2 linked regions of the Macaca fascicularis genome follow. The protein of the gene in region 1 purifies or fractionates together with the protein of each later gene. This does not show direct contact. Links are inferred from orthologs where the notes say so. Each region holds a gene or a part of one and is shown on either strand. Other genes may lie near its edges.

Region 1 (12,200 bases):
TCAAAAAAAAGAGAGATGGCTGGGCGCGGTGGCTCAAGCCTGTAATCCCAGCACTTTGGGAGGCCGAGGCGGGCGGATCACGAGGTCAGGAGATCGAGACCATCCTGGCTAACACGGTGAAACCCCGTCTCTACTAAAAATACAAAAAACTAGCCGGGCGCGGTGGCGGGCGCCTGTAGTCCCAGCTACTCGGGAGGCTGAGGCAGGAGAATGGCGTAAACCCGGGAGGCGGAGCTTGCAGTGAGCTGAGATCCGGCCACTGCACTCCAGCCTGGGTGACAGAGCAAGACTCCGTCTCAAAAAAAAAAAAAAAAAAAAAAAAAGAGAGACAGGGTCGTGCTACATCACCCAGGCTGGTCATGTACTCCTGGGCTCCAGGGATCCTCCTCCTGCTTCACCCTCCCCAGTAGCTGGGACCACAGGCACACCCCACAGCACCTGGCCATCTGTCTCTTTACATGGGTTTTTCACTTAACAAGTTCTAGACTGTGCCCTGGGTTCTACTTCTGGGGCCTCCCCTGCCAAGCCAGGCATACCACAGGTCATGTACTGGGGATTCCCTAAATAGCCCCTACTGTACCAAACCATGAAGTCTCAGAAATCAGGGTAGGATACCCAGCTCTGTCGCCTTGGCAGGTCACGTCCCTCTCTGTGTCTTGATTTCTTTCTCCATAAAGTGAGAATTTAGACTCAGCAAGCTGAGAGCCCTTTGGGCTAGCTTTTTCTGGAGGGGGGCATCAGCCCTCCCTGACCGGGACTGGTGGGAAGATCTGGTGAGCACCATAGTATTCTAAACCAAAGGATGACCAGGCTCACCCCTGTAATCCCAGCACTTTTAGAGGCCAAGGCAGGTGAATCGATTGAACTCAGGAGTTTGAGACCAGCCTGGGCAACATAGTGAGACCCCGTCTCTACAAAACATAAAAAGAGTAGCCAGGGGCTGGATGTGGTGGCTCACACGTGTAATCCCAGCACTTTGGGAGGCCGAGGCAGGTGGATCACCTGAGGTCAGGAGTTTGAGACGAGCCTGGCCAACATGGTGAAACCCTGTCTCTACTAAAAATACAAAACTTAGCCAGGCATGGTGGCAGGTGCCTGTAATCCCAGCTACTCGGGAGGCCGAGACAGGAGAATTGCTTGAACCTGGCAGGCGGAGGTTGCAGTGAGCCAAGATCACGCCATTGCACTCCAGCCTGGGCAACAAGAGCGAAACTCCGTCTCAGAAAAAAAAAAAAAAAAAAAAGATTAGTTAGAAGTGGTAGTGGACACCTGAAGTCCCAGCTACTCGGGAGGCTGAGGTGGGAAGATCACTTTGAGCCTGCGAGGTAGAAGCTGCAGTGAGCCGTGATCACTTCAGTGCACTGCAGCCTGGGTGACAGAGTGAGACCTTATTGCCAAAAAAAATAAAAATAAACCAAGGGATGCCTCGTGGGGTGGGGGAATCCTCTAATTGTGACTCCAGGATGATGGTAGGTGGGCTCCCTGCCTCCCTTCACGCCTTCCCATCCTCTCTCTCCAGTGACTACCTGTTTAAGCTGCTTTTGATTGGCGACTCAGGCGTGGGCAAGTCATGCCTGCTCCTGCGGTTTGCTGTGAGTAAGAAGCCTCCCATACCATCTACCAGGGGTCCTGACTGGCAGCTGGGGGGAGAAGGGACCACCCAGAGCACAGTAGTCGCAAGATCTGGGAACCAGGGGTGAAGCTGTAAGACCTGCCAGCAGCACATCTGCCCTGAACAAGACACAGGGCTGGCCAGCTGGGTGCTGGGAATTGGGGCTTGGTGATTAGGAGACCCTGCTGGGGCTGGAAGCTGGAGGGAGGCTTTCCAAGTGGGCCTCACCTCATTTACTCCCATCATTTCACTGGCCCCTGAACTTCCAGGATGACACGTACACAGAGAGCTACATCAGCACCATCGGGGTGGACTTCAAGATCCGAACCATCGAGCTGGATGGCAAAACTATCAAACTTCAGATCGTGAGTGTCGCTCTTCCCAAAATCCCTGGTACAGAGGTGTCCGCCTTGGGAGGGAAGGGACTCTGGGAATCTGGACCCCAGCTGACCTGCTCCTCTGCCTACTGTCTCCTAGTGGGACACAGCGGGCCAGGAACGGTTCCGGACCATCACTTCCAGCTACTACCGGGGGGCTCATGGCATCATCGTGGTGTATGACGTCACTGACCAGGTACTCCTGGACTAGCCATCCTCAGCTTGGCCTCCTTAGCCTTAGGTCTTTGACTCTTCTTTTTCCTCCTTCCATCTTCTCTTTCCTAATGCTTCCTGGAAAAGAGACTGTACTTGTCTGCTTGCGGGAACTAACTAGGAAAAAGAAAAAAATAGGTGACTGTACTTGGACTCATTTCACAAGGAAGGAAACAACCACAGAAATAGATCCTCCCAAGGCCCTGTTGCAGGTTCTGGCAGGACAAGCCCTCACACCTTCCCTCCCCGCCAAGCCAAACTTACCACCTTATTGTAGACCTTCTGGGCACCTGCATGTTATGGGAGTTTAGTCAGGCGGTTGGCTGCTATGATGGGTCTGTGGCTTCCTGTGTGAAGACACAGTGCAGGGGGACAATTAGAGGGCCTTAGACAAAGAAGTGAGGAGGCTTGAGCTCTGGACCCAATGCAAGCAGAGATCCAGAAGCTCTGTGCCTCCAGCAGCAGTGTTAGTCCCATGTGACTGACAGTGGTGGTAGCAAGAGCCGAAAATGGTTCCATGAAACCTTATAGTTTACAGAACCTGGCCCAGCCCTCAGATTGCAAATCTCTGATGCTCAGAAGAGGTCTGTGTTATGTTCCCATCACACAGGTGAGGAGTTGGGCTCAGGATGGTGAGGTGACTTGCCGAGGGTCCTTCGGCTAGTCCAGTGGCAGAGACAGAAAACCTGGATGGCTCATTCCACCTGCTTTGTGTTTTTCTACCAAATGTTGTTGCTTAACAGGGCCGAGCCCTGGGGATGAGGAGAAGCTTAAATCAGCCGTGGGCTGGTAAGAGTCCCTGTCTGAGGAGCAGCCGGGCTCTTTAGCTCACCAGGGACTCATGATGTCCTCAGCTCTGGACGAGCTGTGGGGAAGCTACATACCACCCAGACAGGTTACCAGGGCCCACCTGACTGCCATCTATCCAGTGACCTCATTTCAGCAGATTGACCTCTCGTGGCTTTGAACTCTGTTCTCTTCTCTCTCCTTGAAAAGTGTACCGTCCCCAGCTCCTCAGTCTCCTGCAGCACTTGATTCTCTATTGTCAGTGTCTGTTTGCTGGTTTGTCTGGTGCTGCCTCCCATCACCCTGTGTTTGGTGCTTCCCGACTGCCCTGGACTCTCCTCCTTACTCTGGTGCATGACTGGGGCCACTCTGTGGCTTGCTTCTGCCTTGTCTTCTGTGATTCCTGCATCTAACAGCTGTGGCTGTGGCTTCCCTCCTCTGTCCGTGTCTACGCTGGCACTTTGTGTCTGTGTTAATTCTGATCTTCATGATCTTCTCTAGTAAACTAAATGGTGGGGTTTGTGTTTTCCAGATGAGGAAACTTGCTTGGAGAGGTGTTAAGTAACTTGCCTCCGGTCTCACAGGAAGGGCAAAGCCAGTTTTGGAGGGCTCTTGGCTTTTGAGCACACCCTTTCCCCCGCCTCAAGCAGTCTCTGCAGAACTCAGATGTCCAGCACTGGCCTCACTGTCTCTCCCCAAACCAGCGTCTCCATCCACATTTTTAATACTTTTATTTTAAAACGTGGGGTCTCGCTCTGTCACCCAGACTGCAGTGCAGTGGTGTGATCATAGCTCGTTGTAACCTCAACCTCCTGGGCTTAAGGGATCCTCCTGCCTCAGCCTATAGGTGCACACCACCATGCCCAGCTGCATCCCCATCTTTGTGACACAATTCTTACCAGGCTGACCAGAAAACTCTTCCCTCCCCCATCCAGTCAGTCTCAAGTCCCCTCTGTTCTCTCCCCATCATCTTCCTCAAATCTGTTTTCTCATGATAATAGCAGTCATGAGGATAATAGCAGCTCTTGCCAGGTAAGCACTTGTTATGAGACAAGCCTGCATTCATTCTCTTCATGCTCACAGCAGCCCTTCTGGGAGGTACTGTTTCTAGAAATGAGGAAACTGAGGCTCACAGTGGTCAGGGGACATACCTGAGGTCACACAGTAAATGGCTGAGCCAGGCCTTCAGCAGCGGTGGTCTAAATCCTGTGTGCATCCCTGGCTTGGTGCACATTCTCTTCCCTGGGTTATTCCAACCATTCCCAGTTGGTCTGCATCTTGCTGGTCTGATCTGGCCTCTGGCTCCTGTCAGGACTAGCTTTCCAGAGCACAGGTGTGATCTTGCTGCTTCTGGCCTGAGAAAACGCCCACTGGCTCCTGGTTGTCCAAGACTTAGCCAGGCTGAGACAGTCTGTGCTCTGGCCTCTCCCCATTCCCCGCTCTGTCCTCCCCCGTCCCCTCTCCCCTTTCCCCCTCTCCCCTTTCCCCCTCTCCCCTTTCCCTCTTTCCCCTTTCCCCCTCTCCCCTTTCCCCCTCTCCGCTTTCCCCCTCCCTATTGAGTGCATCCCAGCAACATTCCACTTCCTCCCATTCCCCAGAGACATCATGCCCCTCCCATTCAGTGACCTGGCACATGCTGGCTCTCCAGCTGGCACCTCTCCTGCACAAGGCCAGTTCCCACCTGCAGGCTTAGGCCTGCTGTTGCTCCCACCTCAAGCAGAGGTGGTCTGGGGGCTCCCCGGTCCCTGCCTTCTAACCTGTTTTGCCCTTGTGTGTGGCCTGGTCTATTCCTCTGCTGTCCCGTGAATGTGTTAGGGCAGGACTCGGGTATGATTTCCCCCTTTGTCCCCAGCACTTAGTGCAGGACCCAACTTGGAACATGGCAAGAGTTTGAGCCAGTCTAAGTTTGAGCCAGTGTGATGTCATCAGGCCTCTGGCTCCTAAGGAGGAAAAGTGGCACTAGCTTGAGCACTTTCCTGAAAGTCCTGTCCTTTGTGTGTGGGGTAGGGGCAAGCTGCTGGAAGAGTCTGAAGCCAGGTCATAAGGCTGTTGGTGCCAAAAGTAGGATGAATTTTAGGCTGTTCCCAGGAGTCCTGTCTCGCCATGGGCCAGGGCCGCCTCTGAGAGGACCCTCGACCTCCTGCGTTCCAAGGCTACAAACCTTAAAGGGATTTTTCAGGCCACGGTGGGAACTGTAACTCTTGCAGACCTGTTACTCTCTGTTCCTGTCTCCCCTCCACTCTCTCTTTGCTTCTCACATGTGGTTAGGCCTGCAAGTGTCTCGGGCAGAGACAGCCGCAGGGAGCAGAGCTGGCAGGCCTGGGTTGGAGCAGCTGTTGAGGTGCTAGGGCAGCTGGCAGGCTGCTGGGGCTCTTCTGGGTCTTGGATGGAGGAGGGCAGGGAGGAAGGTTCAGCCTGGAGCAGAGGGCTTCCTCTGCATCCCTGAGCCGAGGACTCAGGGGGCCCAGAGCTGTACTGTTCCCCTCAGAGAAGGTCTTGTTCTCCAGGTCTGGGGTAGGGGTGACAGTTGGGAGCAAAATAACTTTGGCCCCTGGCCCCCTCTAGGAGTCCTATGCCAACGTGAAGCAGTGGCTGCAGGAGATTGACCGCTACGCCAGTGAGAACGTTAATAAGCTCCTGGTGGGCAACAAGAGCGACCTCACCACCAAGAAGGTGGTGGACAACACCACAGCCAAGGTAGCAGATGGGCGGGTCTGCCTGGGCTGGGGGCGCTGGGGCCCTCCTGCCCCTCACCCTGCTCTCCCCTCCTCTTCTCTCCTCTCCCTTGTCAGGAGTTTGCGGACTCTCTGGGCATCCCCTTCTTGGAGACAAGTGCCAAGAACGCCACCAATGTCGAGCAGGCGTTCATGACCATGGCTGCCGAGATCAAAAAGCGGATGGGGCCCGGAGCAGCCTCCGGGGGCGAGCGGCCCAATCTCAAGATCGACAGCACCCCTGTAAAGCCGGCTGGCGGTGGCTGTTGCTAGGAGGGGCACATGGAGTGGGACAGGAGGGGGCACCTTCTCCAGATGATGTCCCTGGGGGGATGCAGGAGGTGCCTCCCTCTCCCTCTCCTGGGGCATTTGAGTCTGTGGCTTTGGGGTGTCCTGGGCTCCCCATCTCCCTCTGGCCCATCTGCCTGCTGCCCTGAGCCCCAGTTCTGTCAAGGGTCCCTAAGGGAGGACACTCAGGACCTGTGGTCAGGCAGGGCAGGGGCCTGCTCTGCTGCTGCCTCTAGGTGACTTTCCAAGATGCCCCCCTACACACCTTTCTTTGGAACGAGGGCTCTTCTGTCGGTCTCCCTTCCACCCCCATGTATGCTGCACTGGGTTTCTCTCCTTCCCCTTCTTCCTGCTCTCCTGCCCAAGAGCTGAGGTCTCCCCGGCCTCTACTGCCCTGGCTGCAGTCAGTGCCCAGGGCCAGGAGAGTGGCCAGGGGATCCAGGACCTGGGATCCAGGGCCCTGGGCTGGACCTCAGGACAGGCATGGAGACCACAGGGGCCCAGCAGCCCACCCTTTCCTCTCCCCACTGCCTCCTTTCCCCTCCCACACTCCCAGCTCGAGCCGTCCAGCTGCGGTGGGGTCTGAGTATATCTAGGACGGGTGGGTGGGTAGCCGCACTGGGCTTGTGTCTTGAGCCTGGAGGGAGTCTGCTCCTGCCGCCCTCTGCCCTTCCAGAGACAGACCCGTGCGCTGCCTGCCCAGTGTGCCCCTTTGTCCCCACGTCAGGCAGAGGCGGAAGGCCCACTGTGCCAGAGGCTGGGCACCAGCCTTAACCTTCTGCTAGCACCTCCTCCCCTTCCCCGAGGCAGCACATCTGGCTCACTCTCCCCTGGGTCTCTGGAGCCCACCAGGGAAGGCCCTCATCCCCTGCCGCTACTTCTCTGGGGAATATGGGTTCCATCCGGGGTTGGGGGCCTCTCTGCTCATCCACTCTGCACCCAGGATCCTAGTCCCCTGCCCTCTGGCACAGCTGCTTCCTGCAGGAAAGCAAGTCTTTGGTCTCCCTGAGCAGCCATGTCCCTCGTGCTGTCTCTTGCCTGTCCCACCTGTGCCCTGCCCTCCAGCTTGTATTTAAGTCCCTGGGCTGCCCCTTGGGGTGCCCCCCTGCTCCCAGGTTCCCCTCTGGTGTCATGTCAGGCATTTTGCAAGGAAAAGCCACTTGGGGAAAGATGGAAAAGGACAAAAAAATTAATAAATTTCCATTGGCCCTCGGGTGAGCTGAGGGTTTTTGCAAGGAAGTTGTGGTGGACAAGTGTGGTCTCTGGTCTAAGTCCAGCCTTGGGGTGGGGGGATGGAACTGGAACCCTGGGCTTGATGGGGTGCACGGGGGTCCTGGCTTGGTTTCTGCATCTTAAGGCTGCTGGTGAAAGCCCTTGACCCCGTTTCCTGGGGCCAGGAAAGCTGCTTGTGCTTCTGTGGTCTGTCCCCAAGGGCCCAGCACCGTTCTGTCAGGGAGAGAGAGGGCGGCCATCAGCTCATACCTGGTGTGCCGCCGCCAACTCCCACGGGGGACACGGCAGAGGTGTGGGGTCGTGCAGCCTCTGAAAGGGCCCCCACTGCACCTGGCCCGACCTCCTTCGGCGCCCCCCAAAACCCCGCTGCCCCCATTCAGCCCATGTCCTCGCTTCGCTGTGTGTCCCAGCCAGGTGCTTCTGCCGCCTCCGACAGTGACAAGTGCCTCGCACTTCAGCCTCTGCCCTGCGCGCCCGCCCGAGGGGGCCGAGTGCGGCTGTGCCGGTGGCTGGAGTGCCTAGGGGTGCGGGGTGCCGAGGGGGACGGCCGCGGGCTCGTCGGGGCTGGGGGTGGCGCCCGAACCGGGCGGGCGGACGAGGGGCGCGCGGAGACCCAGCCCCGCCCGAGGCCGCTCGCGCGGCGGCCCCGCCCCCGGCTCCGCCCCGCCGGCTTCGCGGGCTGGAGAGCGAGGGAGCCGCGGGCGAGGGATCGCAGGATGAGCGATCGCGGCCCGGGCAGCCAGCAGCGGACGCGCCCCCCGAGCCCACCGGCCCGCGCCCCGCGCCCCCCACGGCCCCGCGGTCCCGGTCCCGGCCGCATCGCCCACCTCCCCCGAGCCCCACGGGCCATGCCCGGCCGGCCCTAAGCGCGGGCCGGGGGGCGTCCCCTTGCGCCCGGGCCCCGCGCTGGCGCCCCCCGGGCCGCCGCCCGGCGCGGGGGCCATGGCGTTCACCTTCGCCGCGTTCTGCTACATGCTCACCCTGGTGCTGTGCGCCTCCCTCATCTTCTTTGTCATCTGGCACGTAAGGCCGGGCTGGGGCTGGGGGCGGGGTGGGGGGCAGGGGCCACACGGAGCTGGAGGGACCCAGGGCGGGTGGTCTCAGAGCCCCGGGGAAACTTGCTATCCCCCAGCAGTCGGCTTGTCGGCTTCGCCCCCATTAACACCCCCCATGGTCGGCTTTCTTCCCAGGGCCCCCCTTCCTTCGCCGCCCCCGCCTGTCTGTATGTCAGTCGGTCCCTGACCCCCTCCTCTGCCCCCGTCCTCTGCCCCATGCAGCCCGTGAGGTGGGGGGTGGAATTCTGGAATTTTTGCTCCTTTACCTTCTTCTACGTCCCCCGCCCCCCCACAACCATCCAGCTGCCTCCATTAGTCCGTCGGGCAGTTTGTCTGTCTGCTGCCCCCCCACCCTTTGTGGGTTTTTCCAGCCAGAGTGATGGAGCCGGTTGCTATGGCAACTGCATCTGTTTACAGGACCCACAGATCTCATAGCCCATTAACCCTTTGCCTTCCCAGCCCCCTCCCTGACCAAACAGCACTTGGCTCTCATCAGCCCCCAGAGACCTAGCCCCCACCACCGGCTCACCTTGGGTTTCCCTACCCCTCCTGTTGGGAGCTTCCCAGCCCCTCAGGTTTCCTCTCCATTTTTCAGCTTCCCTCCTCTTCCTGCCCCCCTTCCCCTTTGTCTCACATACCCCTTGGCCTGTCCCTCACCCTGGCCTAGCCTCACACCTGGTTCTTCAAAATGTCCATTCCTCATCCTACTTCCGACCCATCGCTTCCCCCAGGCTCCCTTCTCCTCCCCTCCCAGCCCCTCTCCTCCAGGGCCTCCTCTGCCTGGCTCCCTTCCCCTCACTACAAAACTATCAATCAGCCTCCAGCTGGTTGTTGGGGGCCCCTGGCCCCACTTTACTGCCCTCCCTCCCCACCCCCACCCAAACCCCGTGCCTGTCTCTGTAACAGCCTGCCCAGCTTGGCCCTGGTCGGCTCAGCTCAGCATTCTCTGCCCACACCTCCCGCGCACACCTCCCTGATTGTCATTCCCTTTCGGGGGTCCTCTTACCCCTCCCTCAATCCCATTTCCCATAACCCTTCCCTCCTTCCTCCTAGTGCCTCACCTGCTTCTTTCCCCGGGCTCCCCACTTCCTCTCTCCTTTCTCTTCCTGGGACCTGCTGCCTGCTCCATGGTTCCCCCTGCGCTCCCTTTGCCATCCCCTGCCACCTTGCTCTTTGCCATCGGGATTCCATAGACTGACTGAACCTATACTGTGTGAGGAGTGAGCCCCCACAGGCACCTCAGCACACACTCCAGCTCCAGCCCTGTCACTCCCTGGCCTGGCTCTGCTGTCTCCCTGGGTCTTGGTTGCTTTGTCTTTCCCCCCCCCTTCCCCCCCACCCCGAGTTACTCTATTTTTATTTCTGTGAGGTAGGGGCAGGAGGGCTAGGGTTCTAAGGGCTGAAGGGAGCTGGAGGCCACAGGCTGGGGAATGCAGAGCTGACCAGCTCCTAGGAGAAGGGCTTCTGGAATTCAGGATACCCCTTTTTGGGGCCTTCCCCACCCAGGGCCTTCCCACAGACCCTGTGGGGTCCCTGTCCTCAGGGGATTCTCAGCAGTTTTCCATCCACCACACCTGCATTGATGCTTCCCAAAGATCAGGCTCTGGGTGGCTTTGAGGGGGTCAAGGATGAATAAAACCAGACTTTGCCCTTGTGGAGTGCCCAGGCTGGGAGGAAAGGCCCAAGCTTTGAAGAAATGTCTTTGTTCATTCAACAGATATTGATTGAGCACCTATGTGAGGTACTGTGTCCACTCAGCCATTTAACTGGATGATCTTATCTAGTCATTTGTCCTGAGTCTGGTTCCTCACTGGCGAAGTGGACCTGTGCACATCAGAGTGCCTAGTGCGGCCTGCTGGGTGGTAGGGGATAGGAGGTGTGGTCCTCAGTCCACAGCTGCTAAGAACTAGACTCTTAACAGGGCAGGACCCCAGATCCCACTCCAGACCCTCAGCCCAGGCCCCAATGGTTCCTAGGCAACACTGGTGGTGAGTGATGCGTGTCAGCTGTCACCGTGGGGGATTGTTTGTTCCGGGGGGCTGAGTCAGCACCAGGCAGCCTGGGGGGTGGGAGGCGCGACGCCTGCCGCCTGCTGGTGATGACAGCTCTGGGGCACAGACGGCACCCTTCTGCTCCCTGTGGACCCTGTTGCTGTGCGTGCCAAGCGGCGGCTGCCCAGTCAATGAGGAACTGGGTGGGGGGGGCGGTGATCCAGATGGCCCCAGCTCCCTCCAGGAAGCCCATGTTCTTTCTCTCTGAGCCGTCTGGGTTCTGGGATGCCTGGGGGTGGTGGGCCTGCTGCCTCATCCTAGGGCTGGAGCTGATGGGAGGGGATCCCAGCAGGCTCCTCTGCCAGCCCATTTCCCCCAAGTCACCTGTCAGCTCCTCCCAGGCCCATCCCATCATCCCCTCAAACACTTGCTCCCCTGGAGAGTTTCCACCCGTGAGGACACTGCCGTCTGCCAGACACCCTAACACCTGAAGACACCTTAGACTTCTGCCTTCACTTCTCGGCCCTTTGAACCCTCTGGAGTCTGGCTCCTAAAGAGCTGTAGAATCGCATACACGCCTTCCGTCTCCACTACAACTCTCCTCACTCAGACCACCATCAGCCCTGCCCCTAACCCTCCAAACTGTCCCCTTGCTGGTCTGACCTGAGTATGACACAGTGGTTAGGAATTTTAACTCTGGAGTCACACTGGGTTAGAATCCACTAACCAGCTGTGTGACCCTGGACAAGTCACTTAACCTGTCTCAGCTTCCTCATCTGCAAAATAGACATGAAAATAAAACTAGTACCTAAATCATTAGGTTGTAAGCATTAAATGAATTAATCCACATACCTGCCAGCAGGAGCACCACTTAGATCTCAGCTGTGACTGTCAGTGAGCTCGGAGTTCCTGCCCCACCAATCCTGAGACATGGACCAATCCTAAGACATGGGCCTGACCACCCCACTCTGCTGCTGTGTACTCTTCCATGCCTCCCCACAATGTTTTTGTGTTAGAGTCCAACCTCCTGCTCCAGCCTCACAGGTTGTCCATGTCTGGCTCTGCTGAACTCTCCAGCTCCTCTTCCACCACTCCCTCTTTTCTTCCTGCTCGCCGCGCTGTCATGCCAGCCCCATGAAACCCGCAGCCTCCTGAATGTCTCCTGACCTTTCACCCCTCTGCCATTGCACCTTCTGCTTGAACTGCATTTCCCCCATTTGCTCACCAACACCTACTCCGAGTCGAGCCTGAACTCCCTCACCCTCCACACAGGGTTAAGCACCCACTCCAGGTCCTGTACCCTAAACCCTGATCACCTGGAACGTAGAGTGATCATCCCTCTGGGCGTGGGTTCCTCCCGAGCAGAGGCTGCATCCCAGGCCTCTGGAGCCCCAGTGCTCAGCACAGGGCCTGAGACCTGGTAGGGCAGACACGAGGCCATGTCTTGGGATGTTTCGGAAGGAGGTGTAGTGGACATGGGCCTGAACTGGGCATCCAGACGCTAGGGTTCCCTTCTGGACTGTTGTGATGACCTTGGACCAGGCCCTGCCCCTCCCTGGGCCTCGGTTTCTCCACCTTTGCAACAAGCTCCACCTGGCTGGTCCTCTTCAGTAAACTCCTATCCCACAGAAGGGCTTGGGGGGAAGATCATAAACTGCTGCCCCAACCCTGACGGGCACTCGCCCCTCCCCCAGATCATAGCCTTTGATGAGCTGCGGACCGACTTCAAGAACCCCATCGACCAGGGGAACCCTGCGCGGGCAGTAAGTGATACATGTGCTGTGCCGAGGTGTGTCTGTCCGTCTTTCCATCTGTCGTAGGCTGGGGGTGGGAGACGGGAAGACGGGGGTGGGGTGGGGGGCCTACGGCCATGCCCCCTTCCTCTCTGTCTCCGCCCCCAGCAAACACCTGGCGCGTGCTCAGGGCTGAGT
Region 2 (16,977 bases), on another chromosome or scaffold:
GCGACGGGTCAGAGGCCAGGTACCTACTGATTACCAAGCACTTTGGATATCTGACTTACTCCAATATGGTGGGTGGGGATTATTGTCCCTGTTCGTTTATAAATGAGAAGACTGAGGCTGGAGGTTAAGTGACTTGCCCAAGCTCATACAGCTAATGGGTGGCACAGTTGTAATTCTAGCTGTGATGATCATAATAATGATAATTGGAAAATGATCACCTGTTTAGTGCTTTGTAGGCACTTGCTATACTGATGTCATTATCTCGGTTTTACTGCCAAGGAAAGTAAGGTTTGTCGAGATACAATGTTTCACTACAGTTGATAGACACCACTTTGGTTCCAGCCTGAGTCTGTCAATCCTCCCTCCCAGTTGGAGCTCATAACCTGCATGCTGTTTTCCCTCCCATCCAGGATCTTTGCCCCCAACCAGGCGTGCAGACCATGAGATGATTCTAAGATAGCAAGCGTCTGCTAGGCCCTCCCTTGTTGGTGGCCTGTATGGCTCATTGCCCTTGTAGTCTCCCTTGGTTGCTGTGTGGGCAGATGGTGGCCTGAAGTCTTTTCAGGAGGTGGTAAATAATATAGTCAGATAGGAACTGAGTCCTAGTTCCACCATGTAACCAGCCATTGGAGGCATGAAATAATCTTTGTCAATGACAGTTTCTACATCTGTAAAATGAAGACACCACCTACATCAGAGGGCTGTGAGGGGGAATTCTTTTTTTTTGTTTTTTTTTTTTTTGAGGCAGAGTCTCGCTCTGTTGCCCAGGCTGGAATGCAGTGGTGCAATGTAAGCTCAATGCAACCTCCACCTCCTGGGTTCAAGCAATTCTCTGCCTCAGCCTCCTGAGTAACTAGGATTACAGGGCACCTGCCACTGCGCCCAGCTAATTTTTGTATTTTTTTTTTTTTTGTATTTTGAGTAGAGACAGGGTTTCACCATGTTGGCCAGGCTGGTCTTGAACTCCTGACCTCGTGATCAACCCACCTCGGCCTCCCAAACTGCTGGGATTACAGGCATGAGCCACCGCGCCCGGCCTGTGAGGGGGAATTCTTATAATCCACATAAAACATCTAGCCAGGATCCCCCAGTCTTTCGGCATTCACCCATTCATTCATTTGTCCAATATGGAAAGCCTACTATGTGCCAGGTATTATGAAGTGTTGGGATACGGCAGTGAGCAGAAGAACCCAATCCCCCACCATCAGGAAGCTGACATTCTCATGAGGGTGACCAGTAAATACTAAGTTGGTATATTATATGATGTCAGTGTTATAGTCTTTAGGGAAGGAAACAGGCTAAGGGGACAGAGTGACTGGGATGCTGTTTTAGATAAGGGTGGTCAGACTGGGCCTCACTGAGGAGGTGAGGAGGTGATATCTGAGCAGAGATCTTAATGGAGGGAGGGAGCCGTTGGGGGAAGGACATTCCTGGAACAGCAAATGCAAGGGCCCTGGGCGAGGTGTGCTCTTGGCAAGCTCAAGGAAGACCTGGTGTGACTGGAGCACAGTGAGTGAGAGAAAGGGGTAGGAGATGTAGGAGATGGTTCTCAGGTGGCCAGGCAATGAAGTAGGACCTTGTAGGCCATGAGGGGGAAGGTCAGGTGCAGTTCTAAATGTGTAAGAAAGCCTTGGGTAATGTGGAGCAGGGAGTGGTGTGATTTCTCAATTAAAGAAAGCCCACAGGAACCACCAGCAACTCCTGGGCTTTCCGACTGGGAGCCCGGGCGGCCAAACAGCAGCAAGGTCCTGCCCACAAGGGAGGGGAGACTGGGCGAGTGTATATACCAAACAGGTTAGGGAAGCTGATTAAAATCTCCTCAGGGCCTAACTGGGAAAGGCCAGAGGAAGCTGGAGATTGGAGTAGGGGGTAGGAGCGAAAGGACAAAGGACATCTGTAAGTTGTATAGAAAAAGGGATGGGGTCAGGGCCACTGTGGTCCTAAGAGCTCAAAAGACTTAGTGCTTCCTCCGCATGTTCTGAGATCTCACCTCTCTCCCCTTCCACCAAAAGCAAGTGGGGTGACGGTCCTGTCCAGACTGGACATAGCCAACTCCCATTTTCTCTGGCTGGGAGGCCTGCTGCAAATGCTCTTGGCTGCCCCACCCCCTCCCCACAGCTTCCCTGTTCCCTCCCCAGTTCCTCTTGTCTGTAGGGCGGGTAAGGCAGCTGACTCCTACTCCTGAGGTTACCACAAATCAGCTGCCTACAGATCTCCCCACCCCCATGACTGCCTTCTATGTCTTCTCACCCTGCCTTGACAGTGCTGGAGGGAAGAGACGAGTCTCCCACCCACCACCACCAACACACAGTCGCGCTCCACTATACCGAACCTGACTCTCAGTGAGACTTTGCTGGCCCTGAGAATGCACGGGGAAGGTGGCTGTCCCCTGCCTTGGCCCCCATTCCTTGTCAAACCTCCTCAGATGTCTCCCCTGTTTCCCTATTAGCTGAGCATTGAGGATTTCACAGCATATGGTGGTGTGTTTGGAAACAAGCAGGACAGCGCCTTTTCTAATCTAGAGGTAAGAGTCCTCTCCCAGCCAGGGGCCATGGGGGACATTCTGTGCTTCTCCCAGCATAAGAACTGTACTCTTACCTCATATCAGGGTTACTTGGGTCTGAGTCTCCTCTGGGATGCCTCCTCCCTCCCCCCCCGCCGCAAACAACAACAACAACAACAACAAAACCACCTCATACTCTTAGCAGAGACACTGGCTTTGGGGTAGAAAGGCCTGGGGCCTGAATGTCAGGGCCTGGGGTGTGGGCCATTTTCTTGGTGAGCCTTTGTGGGTATGGCTTGCCAGAGGAAACCTGCCAGAGAGGTTTGGGGGGCTGGCCCAGGCCCACTGGCCCCTGGCTAACTCACCTTTTGCCTCTCCCCTGTCACCAGAATGCCCTGGACCTGGCCCCCTCCTCCCTGGTGCTTCCTGCCGTTGACTGGTATGCAGTCAGCACTCTGACCACTTACCTGCAGGAGAAGCTCAGGGCCAGCCCCTTGCATGTGGACTTGGCCACCCTGCGGGAGCTGAAGCTCAACGCCAGCCTCCCCGCCCTGCTGCTCATTCACCTGCCCTACACGGCCAGGTACTGCCCACATGGCCCAGCCACCAGCCTCGGGGTCCAGAGAGCAGCAAGGCCCTGGGCTATGGCATGTGGTGGCACCGTTCGACCAAATATGCCAGTACTCCCCACCCCCTCACAGCCCTTCTAGAAGGTGCCGTGTGTGGCCAGAAGAGGTGGGGAGGGCCTCTTCTGTGATTCAGGAGTTGGTGCCTAGCTCCAGAGATGAGGCAGATGTGAGCCCTGTGGGTGGGGAGCTTTCTCACCTAGCCAGGCCCTTGTCACAGAGCAGGTGGCTAGGACTTGAGTGTGACTGAGAAGCCTCGGGGTGAGATGGGCTTCCAGGAGTGGGCACTGAGGTAAGAGTGTGCAGGCTTGGTGTGTGGGGCTAGTGGGGAGGAGAAGCTGGGGCTGGGGAAGGGTAGTAGGCAGCACAGGTCCAGGCCGCCTGAGGACTCTGGTGCTCTGTTTGTCTTCCATAGCTCTGGTCTGATGGCACCCAGGGAAGTCCTCACAGGCAATGGTGAGTAGAATCAGGGAGGATGCACATCCTCACCTAGCCCTTGGGCGGGGACCACAGACAGTTGGCCTGCAGCTCCTCAGCCTCCTCACTCCCAGGGTGGCCCTCCTGCTTCTCGGGGCAGCTGACAGTGGAGCAGGGAAATGCTGGCTCCCAGGACTAGCCAGAGACCACTTAGCAGAGGACCCTGTCCAGCCAGACCCCACTTGGCAGAGGGGGGGCCCTCTGTGCTGGAGGCTATGGAGCCAGTTTCTGTGCATGCAGCGTGAATCCTAGAGTTATGGGTTTAATAAGACTGCAGACATTTGGAAAAACAATTCTGGGGACTTACCTATTTGCAATAAAGAACAGTCATTGCCCATGGAAAGGCAGTCACAAACCTTTCATGGGTGGATGTGGAGTTTTCTGTATTGATATGTATTTTCTCGTGTCACATAGGTAGGGCTTGGCATTAGGAAGTTGATGACCAAAGCCACAGTTGTCCAGGGGGGAGGCTAGGAATGGGGGTGGGATGAGAAATAGCTGCTCCTAAGGATCCTCAGTGGAAAGTAATAACACCACTTTCAGATGGTCTAGAAGGTTTCTAAAGCAGACGGTGGGGAGTGTTTCTTTACACAGGGTGCCTGGTGACTTGACTCTCTGCTCTCCTTTTTGACCCTCAGATGAGGTCATTGGGCAGGTCCTGAGCACACTCAAGTCTGAAGATGTCCCGTACACAGCGGCCCTCACAGCGGTCCGCCCTTCCAGGGTATGTGCCCTTCCAGCAGGGGCTCTGGGGCATGCAGGGAGAGGCAGTGTGGTGAGTCTGTCTGGAGGTGGGGGGTGTATGCCACAGGCAGGCTGTCCGGGAGGCCCAGCATAGCGGAAGCATCAGGCACAGAACCCCTGTGGTGTGACTATTTGGAGTGGCTTGTCCCTGGGCTGACTCTGGGGGAGGACTAGGATGAGCACTCAAGTGCTGCCTCCCCATTCCAGGGGCAGCTTTCCATCTCGTCCTTTGAGGCTTGTGGGTGGCAGACTTGGACACTAAGTCTAAATGACCCTAAGTTTGAGGGACTAGGAATGTCATCAGGGTTTAGGGGCCATCAGGGAAAGCTTTCTGGAGGAAAGGCCTCCTCTGGCTGGTGGGACTTTGAGATAGTGGACAGGGTGTCCTGTCGGGAGAGGAGGGAGGGCACGACAGCTGGGTTGGAGTATGACAGTCTCCCAGGGCTGCTGAAAGAAGGCTGGTTGGGTGTTTCTGCAGGTGGCCCGTGATGTAGCGGTGGTGGCTGAAGGGCTAGGTCGCCAGCTGTTACAAAAACAGCCAATATCACCTGTGATCCATCCTCCTGTGAGTTACAATGACACTGCTCCCCGGATCCTGTTCTGGGCCCAAAACTTCTCTGTGGCGTACAAGGACCAGTGGGAGGACCTGACTCCCCTCACCTTTGGGGTGCAGGAGCTCAACCTGACTGGCTCCTTCTGGAATGACTCCTTTGCCAGGCAAGGGCACTAGGCTGGGGAGGACTGTGCCACCACAGGTGACCTTCCCACCACTGTGAGTTGCAGGTGGGGCAGGGAGCCAGGGTCAGGTCTGTGTGTTGGGGTGGGGATGGCCATGGTCTGGTTGGGGTCTGGGCAGTGTGAGGATGTAGGAGGTGTCATGGCGGGGGGTGCTGTTGGAGGGGAGTTGCTCAGACTTCTGCCTCCCCATGCTTGTGAGTCTTTGGTTGGGACCTTGGTTGTTAACACCTCCCCCTTGAGCAAAACTTCTGGGACTTTGTGTGGGCAAATGCCAGGCCAGCTACCTGAGGCATTTATGGGGCAACCATGCCCTTCTGTTTGCTCTCACCCCCAAAGCCCAGCCCAGGCACCTTAGTGACCCTAAGAGGGAGTAAAAGGAGAGGTAGTGAGCTCAGGGGAACCAGAGGAAGGACCCCCATGCTGGTGGCAAGGGGAACCTGGGTCCTGGCTTCCAGCTCTGTTCTGGGCTTGCAATGCGACTGGATCCTCAGTTTTCCTATCTGTCAAGTGGGGTCACTGCTTCTTCAGGTGGCTGCAAGGACCCAAGGCAGCTTAGGTAAGAGCAGAGCTGAGGAACTTGTTCCTCTAAGATGCCAAAGGCCCTCCCAGAGCCTCATGGTGCACCTCTTTCTCTGCCTCCACAGGCTCTCACTGACCTATGAACGACTCTTTGGTACCACAGTGACATTCAAGTGAGTCCTGGGGTGGTTGAGGTGTGGGGAGGCTGGTGTGGCCCCAGCCTCCCCAGCTCACCTGACATCCCTGCCACCTTCCCCAGGTTCATTCTGGCCAACCGCCTCTACCCAGTGTCCGCCCGGCACTGGTTTACCATGGAGCGCCTCGAAGTCCACAGCAATGGCTCCGTTGCCTACTTCAATGCTTCCCAGGTCACAGGGCCCAGCATCTACTCCTTCCACTGCGAGTATGTCAGCAGCCTGAGCAAGAAGGGCAGTCTCCTCGTGGCCCGCACGCAGCCCTCCCCCTGGCAGATGATGCTTCAGGACTTCCAGGTATGGCGCAGGGGTGGCCCAGCTTCAGGTGGGGGAGCCCAGGCTGGTGTTTGAGAAACGAAGAGAGGCTTGGGCTTGGGAGTCCTGTCCCTGCGCTGCCCTTGTCCCAGTCCTTGCTGGGCCTCCCAACGGTCCTTTCTGACCCGTGTCTGTGTGTCTGCCAGATCCAGGCTTTCAACGTGATGGGGGAGCAGTTCTCCTATGCCAGTGACTGTGCCAGCTTCTTCTCCCCCGGCATCTGGATGGGGCTGCTGACCTCCCTGTTCATGCTCTTCATCTTCACCTACGGCCTGCACATGATCCTCAGTCTCAAGACCATGGATCGCTTTGATGATCACAAGGGCCCCACCATTTCTTTGACCCAGATCGTCTGACCCTGTGCCAGTGGGGGATTGAGGGTGGGACAGTGTCCGTGTTGTTGCTTTCCCACCCTGCAGCACACTGGACTGGAGCTTCCCTCTTCCTACCGCAGCATGAACCCCAAGCTCCCCTCAGCCCATCTTGCTCCCTCTTCAGCCTGCTGAGGAGCTTTCCTGGGCTGCCCCCATCTCTCCCAACAAGGTGTACATATTCTGCGTAGATGCTAGACCAACCAGCTTTCCAGGCTTAGTCGCTGTGAGGCGTAAGGGACATGAATTCTAGGGTCCCCTTTCTCCTTATTTATTCTTGTGTCTACATCATCCCTGGCTGTGGATAGTGTTTTTGTGTAGCAAATGCTCCCTCCTTAAGGTTATAGGGCTCCCTGAGTTTGGGGTGTGGAAGTTCTACTTAACTGTCCTGCTTGGCTGTCGTTATCGTTTTCTGGTGATGTTGTGCTAACAATAAGCAGTACACTGGGGTTTATTTCTGTGGCCTGAGAAGGAAGGCACCTCCACAGGTGGGCTGGGTGCGATCGTCGGCTGTCTGGCATGTTCCCACCGGAAGTGCCTGGCAGGAGCAGGGGGTGCTCGGTTGTTTCCTTCCTAATAAAGTAAACGAGGATCGCCATGCGTTGGGCCTCTTGTCGCTCATTTCTGCGCTGAGCTTTTGGCGCGTGCTCGCCAGAGGTATGCGGGAGGATGGAGCCTGGAGAGGGGGAGGCTAGGAGGCATCCCCGGAGACCGGGAGGGGCTTTAGTAAGCTGGGCCCTAACCGCTTAGGTCAGGGAGGGGTGGTCGGGCCGAGTCCCGGTGCGCTTCGGCGTCTCAGGAGGCCGTAGTGACAATGGCAGCCTTCGCGTCGTGAGGGAGCCGCCCCCGGCTGCCGCAGCGGCGCGCGTCCGGTCGCGGGGCCGCGCCGAGACTCCCGGGGGGCGGGGCGGGCGCGCGCGGGGCGGGGCGGGGCGGGGCGCGCCCGGCTCCCGCGCATGGATCCTTCCCGGGCCGCAGCACCGGCCGCCGGCCCGCCCCGCCCGCCCCGCCCGCCCCGCCCCGAGCCTCTCTGGACTCTCGGCGAGCAACGTCGCCCGCGGAGCCGCGCTGGTGCTGTGGCCCGGGCCCTGGCAGCCCTCCCGGGAGGCGAGCCGGGAAGGCGGTGTCCCCTGCCGGGTGCGGCGGGGCGCGGGAAGAGGCGGGACTCTTTGACGCGGCGGAGGGGTCGGGCGGCGGCCGACGCTCCGCCATCTTTGGTCCAGTGCGGTGGCGGCGGCGGCGGTGGCTACTGCTGTGGTGAAGGAGGAGGAGGAGCCGAGCGGGCGCTGCCACTGAGGCCTGACCATGGACGAGGAATACGATGTAATCGTGCTGGGGACCGGCCTCACCGTAAGTGCGGCCCCGGGCGCCCTTGGCCCTGCGTCGTGCCCTCGCCATTCCCCGCGATGATGCGGCCGCCGGCCCATCCTCCGGTCACTGCCATCTTCTGCGCTCGGCTCCCCGAAAAGCCGGCGCCGTGCCCACCCCGCTGCTCCCCCCGCGATGTCGCCTCTGTTCGTTGCCATGACCCCATCTCCCCGAAGGGGCCCCCTTCCTGGCCGCCCCCTGGCCTACCCGGGTCCGACCCCCGGCGCTCTCCCATCTTCCCTACCCCTGCCCTCTGGACCGGAAAACGCACCCCCACTCGGCCCGTTGCCCCCGACCCCGCCCACCCATCGCCCCCACCCCGCCCACCCATCGCCCCCACCCCGCCCACCCATCGCCCCCACCCATCACGGCATCCACCCGTCGCCCGCACCCATCGCCCGCCTAGCGTTGCCTCCCAGCGTCCCTTCCCATCTTGCGCTAATCCCTGTGAGGATGAAGTACAAGGACCTGGGGTCAGGGGGCCTCGCCAGGGTGGGCTCTCAGCCCACCCCCTCGTCGTCTTCTGGGGCCAGGGGATCCAGGGAATGTTCCAGAAGGAGCAGCAGTGGGGGCAGTAAGCACATTCCCGCAACCCCACCTCGGTTGCCCATGGAGACCTCAGGCTGAGTAGCATCTGCAGCCTTTGTCCTTGGGCTAGTGACAGTGACTGGTGAGGGTGTTTATCTTCCCCCTTTCCCCGAAAATCCCGTTGGCCCACTCCCCTCAGAGACTCTTCTCCCTCGGTCCAGACCCAGATGCCCCTCCTCAGCGGCAGGGGCTCCTGCTCTTTGAAGAAAGAGCAGTCCAGGGTGGGGCCTACAATTTCAAGGACTGTGCTAAGCCTTTCTTTGCTTCCCTTTGGAGTGTCTTTCGCAGTCCAGCTGGGTCCCCTCTGTGCCACATTGTGTTTTATCCGCCTTTTTGTGCGGCTCTGCGTAGGTAGATGCCTCTCGGCGTGTTGGTACTGGAAGGCCATCCTGTGTCTGCTGGATGCCCTGCCTACCTCAAAGCCTCCGTTATTTCACTGTCTGCCTTGTGAGGGGGACGGTCTCCTTTACCCCGCAAGGTTGCAATGGAGAGTGTGGTCGGATGAAACCATCACCCCAATTTTAGGCGAGGCAACTAGCCGGTGGGGGTGGTGGATGGAAGGAGCTGTCCACTGAGGCAGGTTTGGGTGGGGAACAAATCAGGGCTGCTGGTAGGAGCAGAGGAAGGTGGGAGTGCAGCGGATTGTGTGGCCCTCCCCCAGGAATGCATCTTGTCGGGCATCATGTCTGTGAACGGGAAGAAGGTGCTGCACATGGACCGGAACCCCTACTACGGGGGCGAGAGCTCCTCCATCACACCCCTGGAGGAGGTGAGGCTGCCTGGGCCCAGGCCCATCCCTGTTAACCTCCCACACAGCGGCACAGGGTGGAAGTAGCTCTCCAGGTGCCTGGAGCAGGAGGAGGTGGTCCCTGAGGTGTCTCTCTCTCCCTTCTGCTTACAGCTGTATAAGCGTTTTCAGTTGCTGGAGGGGCCCCCTGAGTCCATGGGCCGAGGCCGAGACTGGAACGTTGACCTGATTCCCAAATTCCTCATGGCTAACGGTGAGGGACAGGAAGGAGGTATTGCAGGTCGGGGGTGATAGGGAAGACCTAAGGACAGTCAGGCTCCAAAGGAGGCACAGCCAGACCAGCTAGAACCTCTGGAGAGAGCCGTGCTGATGTTGCCCTTGTGCACCCCCACAGGGCAGCTGGTAAAGATGCTACTGTATACAGAAGTGACTCGCTACCTGGACTTCAAGGTGGTGGAGGGCAGCTTTGTCTACAAGGGGGGCAAGATCTACAAAGTGCCGTCCACTGAGACTGAGGCCTTGGCTTCCAGTGAGTGTGGGCCCCCTGAGCCAGAGAAATCATGGGGTGGCAGGGAAGCCAACTGTCTTTGGGATGGGTGGCTGTCCAGAGTAAGGCACCCCTTTGTCCAAAGTCACATTCCCCCATGAAGGACCAGAGGCCCTTCACTCTGTATTCCCTCTGCCCCATGTCATGCCGCATGGCTGGCTGCCAAGAGGGAGGTCCCCACGCAGCAGGGATGTGACGTGGAGGGGAACGGGACTCCTTTTGAAAGACTTGAGCGTGGCCAGGCACGGTGGCTCATGCCTGTAATCCCAGCACTTTGAGAGGCCTAGGCGGGTGGATCACGAGGTTAGGAGTTCAAGACCAGCCTGGCCAACATGGTGAAACCCCGTCTTGTCTCAAAATACAAAAAATTAGCTGAGTGTGGTGGCACACACCTGTAATCCCAGCTACTCGGGAGGCTGAGGCAAGAGAATGGTTTGAACCCGGGAGGTGGAGGTTGTGGTGAGCCGAGATCATACCACTGCACTCCAGCCTGGGCGATAGAGCAAGACTCCATCTCAAAAAACAACAACAACAAAGAAAACTTGAGCCTTTGGCAGGGGCTCCACTGGATCCTCAAGACATCCCCAAGTGTCCAAGCCAGGAAAGCCCTTAGAGTCCATCCAGGCCAATCCCCTCTTCATCCTGGTGGGGAAACTGAGGCTAAAAAGGGTGGAGAGGTTAACCTAAGGTCACAGGACAGCTGGGCTGGGAGTGGGGGTGCCTGCCCTGCTGAGATGGAGAGTTTTGTGCTGCGTTGGTGCAGAACCTCCTCCCGCCACCTTCCTTAGATCTGATGGGTATGTTTGAGAAACGGCGCTTCCGCAAGTTCCTGGTGTTTGTGGCAAACTTCGATGAGAATGACCCCAAGACCTTTGAGGGTGTTGACCCCCAGACTACCAGCATGCGTGATGTCTACCGGAAGTTTGATCTGGGCCAGGATGTCATCGATTTCACTGGCCACGCCCTGGCACTCTACCGCACTGATGAGTGAGGGGAAGCTGGTGTGGCGGCAGCCCCCTCGCCCGGCCCACCTCCTGCCCTCCCCACACCTGCCTGTTGTCCCCCTGCCCTGCATGTTCCTTGTACTCAGCCATAGGCTCACCTGTCACCCTTTCCATTTCCCCCTTGCATTTGATCCTCATCTTCCCCAGGCCATTCAGGGTGGTGGGAAGACTGGCCTGGTACCTGGTACCTGGGTGGGGGTAAGTCAGGGGTGCTGCTACTGGAGCATCTTCCCTAACCCCTGTCCCCCAGCTACCTGGACCAGCCCTGTCTTGAGACCATCAACCGCATCAAGTTGTACAGTGAGTCCCTGGCCCGGTATGGCAAGAGCCCATATTTATACCCGCTCTACGGCCTGGGCGAGCTGCCCCAGGGTTTTGCAAGGTGAGGACGTGGGTTTTTTCAGTTGGCATGGCTGAGTAGGACTAGGGCCAGGAGTGGAGATGGCCCCCTTGAGCATTTCCCTGGTAGCATTTCCTCCTTTCCAATTCGTGATTTTCATTTACTTCACTCCATCCTTGGGTGATGAGGGCACAACCCCAGTGCACTGAAGTACAGAAGTCTCCACACTTGCCGGGCGCGGTGGCTCACGCCTGTAATCCCAGCACTTTGGGAGGCCGAGGCGGGCGGATCACAAGGTCAGGAGATCGAGACCACGGTGAAACCCCGTCTCTACTAAAAATACAAAAAATTAGCCGGGCGCGGTTGTGGGTGCCTGTAGTCCCAGCTACTCGGGAGGCTGAGGCAGGAGAATGGCGTGAACCCGGGAGGCGGAGCTTGCAGTGAGCCGAGATCGCGCCACTGCACTCCAGCCTGGGCGACAGAGCGAGACTCCGTCTCAAAAAAAAAAAAAAAAAAAAAAGAAGTCTCCACACTTGAAGAACCAAGTTTCCACAAATGTGACTTGCTCAGTTCCCGGCAGCACCAGGACTGGGCCCAGGGCCCCAGAACCTTGAGTCAGGGCTTCGCTGGGAGGTGACCTATCTTGAGAGAGTCCATCCTGGTCCTTCAGGCTGTCTTGGTGCAGAGCACTGCTCCCTCATGCCCCCTTCTGCTGGTCCTTGGCAGTGTATTCTGGGCAGAAGAAGCTCCTGAGAGGAAAGAGCCCGCTGAGATGGGGCCAGAGTTCACGGCAGTGACACAGCTGGGATGAATCCCGGCGTCTCCTGCCTGCTGCCTGCCTGGGGCAGCCTTTTTTGCACCTTGGTGGAGGAAGGGTGACAGTGGAATTGGTCCCCGTTTCTCCTGGGAGGGGCCTTCACCAGGGCTGTTCTCACCACAGATTGAGTGCCATCTATGGGGGGACGTATATGCTGAACAAACCTGTGGATGACATCATCATGGAGAATGGCAAGGTGGTGGGCGTGAAATCTGAGGGAGAGGTGAGCCTTTCTGGTGCAGTGCAGTCACCATGGTTGAGGCAGGGCTTGGTCACCTTCTTTTCACCGTGCTGCCGGGTCTCCTGCTGCACAGCCCCGAGGGTCCTGGAGCTGGGAACTGGGCGTTCAGAAGTCTTCAGAGCCATGAATGTGGGTGAGGGGCTATTTCAGAGGCCACACGCCATGTCTGTAGTGCAGAAAGTGTACTTGATCACGGGGCATCTGGGAGGTGGGGGCGGGCACCCAGCCTATGGGTCAGGGCCCACCTCTGTGAGCTGCAGGGCAGGGCCATGCATTCAGGAGGGGCAGTAGTGATGGCTCCGAGGAGTGCCTTGTCTGCCAGAGCTGCCTGCCTTTGCTGTGAACACAGCCCCAAGACTACCTAAGGGAGTGATCTGACGGGCGAGGATTTCTGGTGCCTTCTCAGGTGGCCCGCTGCAAGCAGCTGATCTGTGACCCCAGCTACATCCCGGACCGTGTGCGGAAGGCTGGCCAGGTTATCCGCATTATCTGTATCCTTAGCCACCCCATCAAGAACACCAACGATGCCAACTCCTGCCAAATAATCATCCCCCAGAACCAGGTCAACAGGAAGTCAGGTAGGCCGGGTGCTGGTACAACTTCCTCTAGGGTGTTCTCTTTGGGGTTACCCTTTCTCTCCCCATCAGTGTCGGAGCTCCCTGCCTTACCTCTCTGGAAAAAATTTGACCCACGTTGTAGTCACCACAACTTGGACCCCTAGGGTTTGGGTGGCCTGGACTCTTCCCCTCTGGGAGGGTGGCGGCTTGGATGCTACCTGCTTTGCGGGGCTGGGGAGGGGGCAGGTGGGCCAGACTTGTGTCCAGCCACTGGAACTCATCTCTGCGTATGGCCAGCGCCTCTGGCCCGAGTTGACGGAGCTCTTCCTGTGGCCAGACATCTACGTGTGCATGATCTCCTATGCACACAACGTGGCGGCCCAGGGCAAATACATCGCCATCGCCAGCACTACTGTGGAGACCACGGACCCTGAAAAGGAGGTGGAGCCGGCTCTGGAGCTGTTGGAGCCCATTGACCAGAAGTGAGGGGCTGGGCCGAGCCCGAGAGGGAGAGGGAGGGAGCCCAGGAGCTGGGCTTAGGGACCAGGAAGGGCATGGCCCGTTGTGAGGCCTGTCCCCTCCCCTCTGTCTGCCCCTCAGGTTTGTGGCTATCAGTGACTTGTATGAGCCCATTGATGATGGTTGTGAGAGCCAGGTAAGCAGTTTGCCCCAGCCCTGGCTCCTGGCTGCCCCCCCAGGGCACCTGCCTGACTCACCCTGGGCGCTGGGCTTTGGCTGTTTCCAGGTATTCTGTTCCTGCTCCTACGATGCCACCACACACTTTGAGACAACCTGCAACGACATCAAAGACATCTACAAACGCATGGCTGGCATGGCCTTTGACTTTGAGAACATGAAGCGTAAACAGAACGACGTCTTTGGAGAAGCTGAGCAGTGATTGTGGCCGCCCCCAGCCCCTGCTGCCCCAGCCTGTGTCTGTTCTCCTAGAGGGCTCCAGCATCCTCTGCTTCCCCCACCACGTTCCCATCACCCACCTCATTGATCCACTGACCAAATCCTTAACCCTAGCGATGGTTTGGGAGATGGGGGGTTGGATAGCATCCTCTTTCTTGGCCCTTCCTTATCCTAGGAAAAGAGGGTTCCTCTCCTTGTGTGTGTCTCTTCCCCCCACCCCTAATTCTTCTGCTCTGTTCGGGAAGACGGGGAGGAAAAGGTGACTTCTGCCCCCACCGCTCTTACCCCCACTGTAGTGGCCTTTGGAGATGCCCCCACCTCCCCCCACCAACTCTTGGCGTGTTGGAGAGAAGGGGCCCTCCCAGCACAAAGTTGCATTCCTCCCCCCTAATTTATTCTAATTTATTAACTTCGACCCACCCTTTCTGAGCCTGCAGCCTTCCCGTGTGGCCTGGGGGCTGTAGAGTGAGCTGCCCCAGCCCCTCCCAGCCCTTGCCCAGCCTGGGGCAGTGGGGAAGGCTTGGGCGTGGCCCCGTTGGAGGTTGATTTGCTGTTTTGTTTCTTGTCTTTGTGTTTGTGTTCTGTGGTACTTGCTGAGAGAAAAATGTGAGCAAAGCAGAAGGAGGTGGGAAAATGGACCCAAACCCCAGTGTGCCCTGCCCGTACCTTTCCTTTAGTGGTGGGAAACCCTTATCTTGCAAAGTGAATGTGTCCCCTTCCCCACCCTCTAGTGTATTTCACAGAAAACAAAACCTCCCAATAAAACGGTTGAAACCTGAACCTCTGGATCTTTACGGTTATCTCCCAAAAGCTGGGTACCTGGCAGGGCTTTGGCTGCCTGGGTTGGGGCTCTGGCTTAGCTTCACTCTGGACTGTAAAAGGTGGCAGTCGTCAGGGAATTCCTCACCCAGAGCACGCTGGGGCCAAACTGACTTAAAGCGTAAGGCTACCAGTGAGTTAATGCTGGCACCAGGACTGCAGCCCTCAGTGCTCAATGCAGGGGGAGTGCGGTGGGGGGCGGGTGTCAACGTGGAGAAAGCAGAGGGAGCGGGGGTCTTGGCCTCTGGCTTGAGAGGGCAGAGGGGACCCGGGGCCAGCCTTGGATGGGGTGAAGCAGGGGGACAGGGGTGCCAGTTTTCGGCTTAATGCGGGGGACCAGGGCCTGGCCTCAGGCAGGGAGGCAGCACGGGGACCAGCCTTGGGGTCAACAGGAGGAATTAGAGGGACCAGGGGCCCAGCCTTGGCTCGGGTTAACGTCGAGGCAGCGCGAGGGGCTGGGGGATTCAGCCTCCGGGGTCCACAGGAGCCGGCGGTGGGGGCTGGGATGGGAGTCCATGCAGGGTAAGGGGCGGTCTCCGGCGGGGTGGGGCGGGGTGGGGCGGGGCGGGCGGCGGTTCCGCTCCGGGCCAGCTGGCGCGCGGAGGGGCGGGGTATCCGTGCGTCTCCTGGTGGCTGACGTCACGGCGCGGGCGTCAGCTGACTGTTCTGCTGCCGCCGCCGCTGCTGCTGCAGCTGAGACCCGGCTGGGCTGCTGTCGCTGTCGCCGCCGCCGCCGCTACCATGGCTCAATACAAGGGCGCCGCGAGCGAGGCCGGCCGCGCCATGCACCTGATGAAGAAGCGGGAGAAGCAGCGCGAGCAGATGGAGCAGATGAAGCAGCGCATCGCGGAGGTGCGAGCTGGGAGCCTCGGAGCATGCGCGCTGCCCAGGTCCCCTGGCTGCCTCGCGCCACGCTCCGGCCCTGGAAGCCCTGGGGCGGTGGCTTCGGAGCGCGGGCGGCGCGCCGGGGCGGGCCCCTGGCTCGCTGACTTCCAGCAGAGCACAGAAGCAAGCCGGCGAGTCTCATCAGTAAAATGGGCCCTGAGCCGGGCGTTCTCCGAGGCTGAGGCCACTGACTGGTGACCGACCTCCGGCAGGAGGGAGCCGAGCCAGTGTTTCTGTTGGGAGGCACGGCGGGGACAGGCCTCTCGTCGCCTCGCCTGGGCACCTAGCGCCCTGGCTCTGGCCCCTCGGCCCTCAGAGCCAGGCCTCTGCCCTGGTCCTATGGACACCGGGCAGGGCGGTTCCTCTCCCCCTGGAGAGGCGCGGGGAGGCCTGAGTCAGACCTGGCCAGTCCACTGGCCAGGAGGCTCCTTCCAGAACCCCTTGCATCTGTGAGGCAGGCATGAACCTCCCGGGCGCCAGCGGTTCATCCCCTGCTTCCCGTGAGTGGCCCGTGATGGTGGTGGTCAGGGAAAGAGCGTGGAAGAGCTTGATCCTTTTAGGGAGACTCACTCATCAGGACTCAGGGCTCCAGGAAAGAGCAGGCTCCTGCTTGGGGAACTGGGGAAACCTGGCCAGAGGAACCTTGAAATACCAAGTCCTTATTCCCTGGCCACACTGTGTGAGCCGGGGTGCCCAGCAAGCAGAAGGTGTATTTGTCTGCCAGCCACCTTGGGAGGCCGCTGGTCAGCGAGGGCTTGACATGGTACCAAGTGGGATGGGGCTGGGGCCAAAGAGAGGCCTCCTGGGAAGCTGTTGATGACATTTGGGGGCCTAGAGGGAGGAAAATCACTCAGGGAGGGACCAGGCCCCTCAGCCACTGTTCTTGTTTGCCTTCTCCTGATACCCCTTGGCTTGGGTCTTGGAAGCTTCAGGGGCAGATTTGGACTGTAACCCAGGTCCCTGATGACCAGCCTGCCTTTTCCACAGTGAGGGGTGACTCTCATGGTGGCTGTCCCTCCCCGCAGGAAAACATCATGAAATCCAACATTGACAAGAAGTTCTCTGCGCACTACGACGCGGTAGAGGCAGAGCTCAAGTCCAGCACCGTGGGTGAGCAGGGTGCGGGTGCCCCTCACCCGGGCCCTGGGCCACTCTTCCGCTGGCCCTGTGACTACCTTGCCCCTTGTGCCTCCTTGCTTCAAAGGTCTTGTGACCCTGAATGACATGAAGGCCAAGCAGGAGGCTCTGGTGAAGGAGCGGGAGAAGCAGCTGGCCAAGAAGGAGCAGTCCAAGGAGCTGCAGATGTGGGTCCTCTCGCCGCAGCCCTCAACATGGAGCTAGTGCTCACGGGGTCCCGGGGCCGGTCAGGCTCTTTTTGCACCCTGGGGGGAGACCCTGTCTCCTGCCTTGGGACAGGGGTAGCATCTAGCTTGCGATTTGCATTTCTCTCTCCTGTCTCCTTGGGTCCACGCTCACGTCTTCTCACCATGGCGGCTTGGCTTCTTTCTGACTCTCTAAATGCAGTGGGTCCTTTCCCTGCATCTGGTGCCTGAGCAGCCTGCATTCTCCCCATTCCTCTCTGTCCTGCAGCCCCTATGGCCCTCTGTGCTTACTGTTTGTAACAGAGCCCTCACCCATGAGCTTGAAGTGATCCAGGACAG

Evidence for each region.
Region 2: the proteins of RAB1B (region 1) and GDI1 purify together in Homo sapiens (affinity purification with mass spectrometry; 3 studies listed by BioGRID and IntAct, counting the BioPlex papers as one, with this or other methods). This does not show direct contact. The link is inferred for Macaca fascicularis from reciprocal best matches to the Homo sapiens genes RAB1B and GDI1.

What each region holds. Positions count from the first base shown.
Region 1 is NC_088388.1:8,110,403-8,122,602, reverse strand, and holds the end of RAB1B (ras-related protein Rab-1B), read left to right. Parts: intron 1-1,519; coding exon 1,520-1,592; intron 1,593-1,881; coding exon 1,882-1,977; intron 1,978-2,089; coding exon 2,090-2,185; intron 2,186-3,520; exon of another isoform or gene 3,521-5,553; coding exon 5,554-5,685; intron 5,686-5,780; coding exon 5,781-5,975; 3' UTR 5,976-7,229; downstream 7,230-12,200. Other genes in the region: CNIH2 (protein cornichon homolog 2), read left to right, coding at 8,166-8,246, 11,964-12,032. UniProt on the Homo sapiens protein: The small GTPases Rab are key regulators of intracellular membrane trafficking, from the formation of transport vesicles to their fusion with membranes.
Region 2 is NC_088395.1:160,430,403-160,447,379, forward strand, and holds GDI1 (rab GDP dissociation inhibitor alpha), read left to right. Parts: upstream 1-7,697; 5' UTR 7,698-7,792; coding exon 7,793-7,837; intron 7,838-9,104; coding exon 9,105-9,212; intron 9,213-9,344; coding exon 9,345-9,444; intron 9,445-9,585; coding exon 9,586-9,720; intron 9,721-10,526; coding exon 10,527-10,725; intron 10,726-10,992; coding exon 10,993-11,124; intron 11,125-12,022; coding exon 12,023-12,122; intron 12,123-12,546; coding exon 12,547-12,718; intron 12,719-12,994; exon of another isoform or gene 12,995-13,034; coding exon 13,035-13,179; intron 13,180-13,297; coding exon 13,298-13,352; intron 13,353-13,442; coding exon 13,443-13,595; 3' UTR 13,596-14,392; downstream 14,393-16,977. Other genes in the region: ATP6AP1 (V-type proton ATPase subunit S1), read left to right, coding at 2,450-2,524, 2,893-3,086, 3,545-3,585, 4,245-4,330, 4,829-5,067, 5,733-5,780, 5,867-6,098, 6,263-6,472; protein FAM50A, read left to right, coding at 15,173-15,283, 16,342-16,426, 16,521-16,620. UniProt on the Homo sapiens protein: Regulates the GDP/GTP exchange reaction of most Rab proteins by inhibiting the dissociation of GDP from them, and the subsequent binding of GTP to them. Promotes the dissociation of GDP-bound Rab proteins from the membrane and inhibits their activation.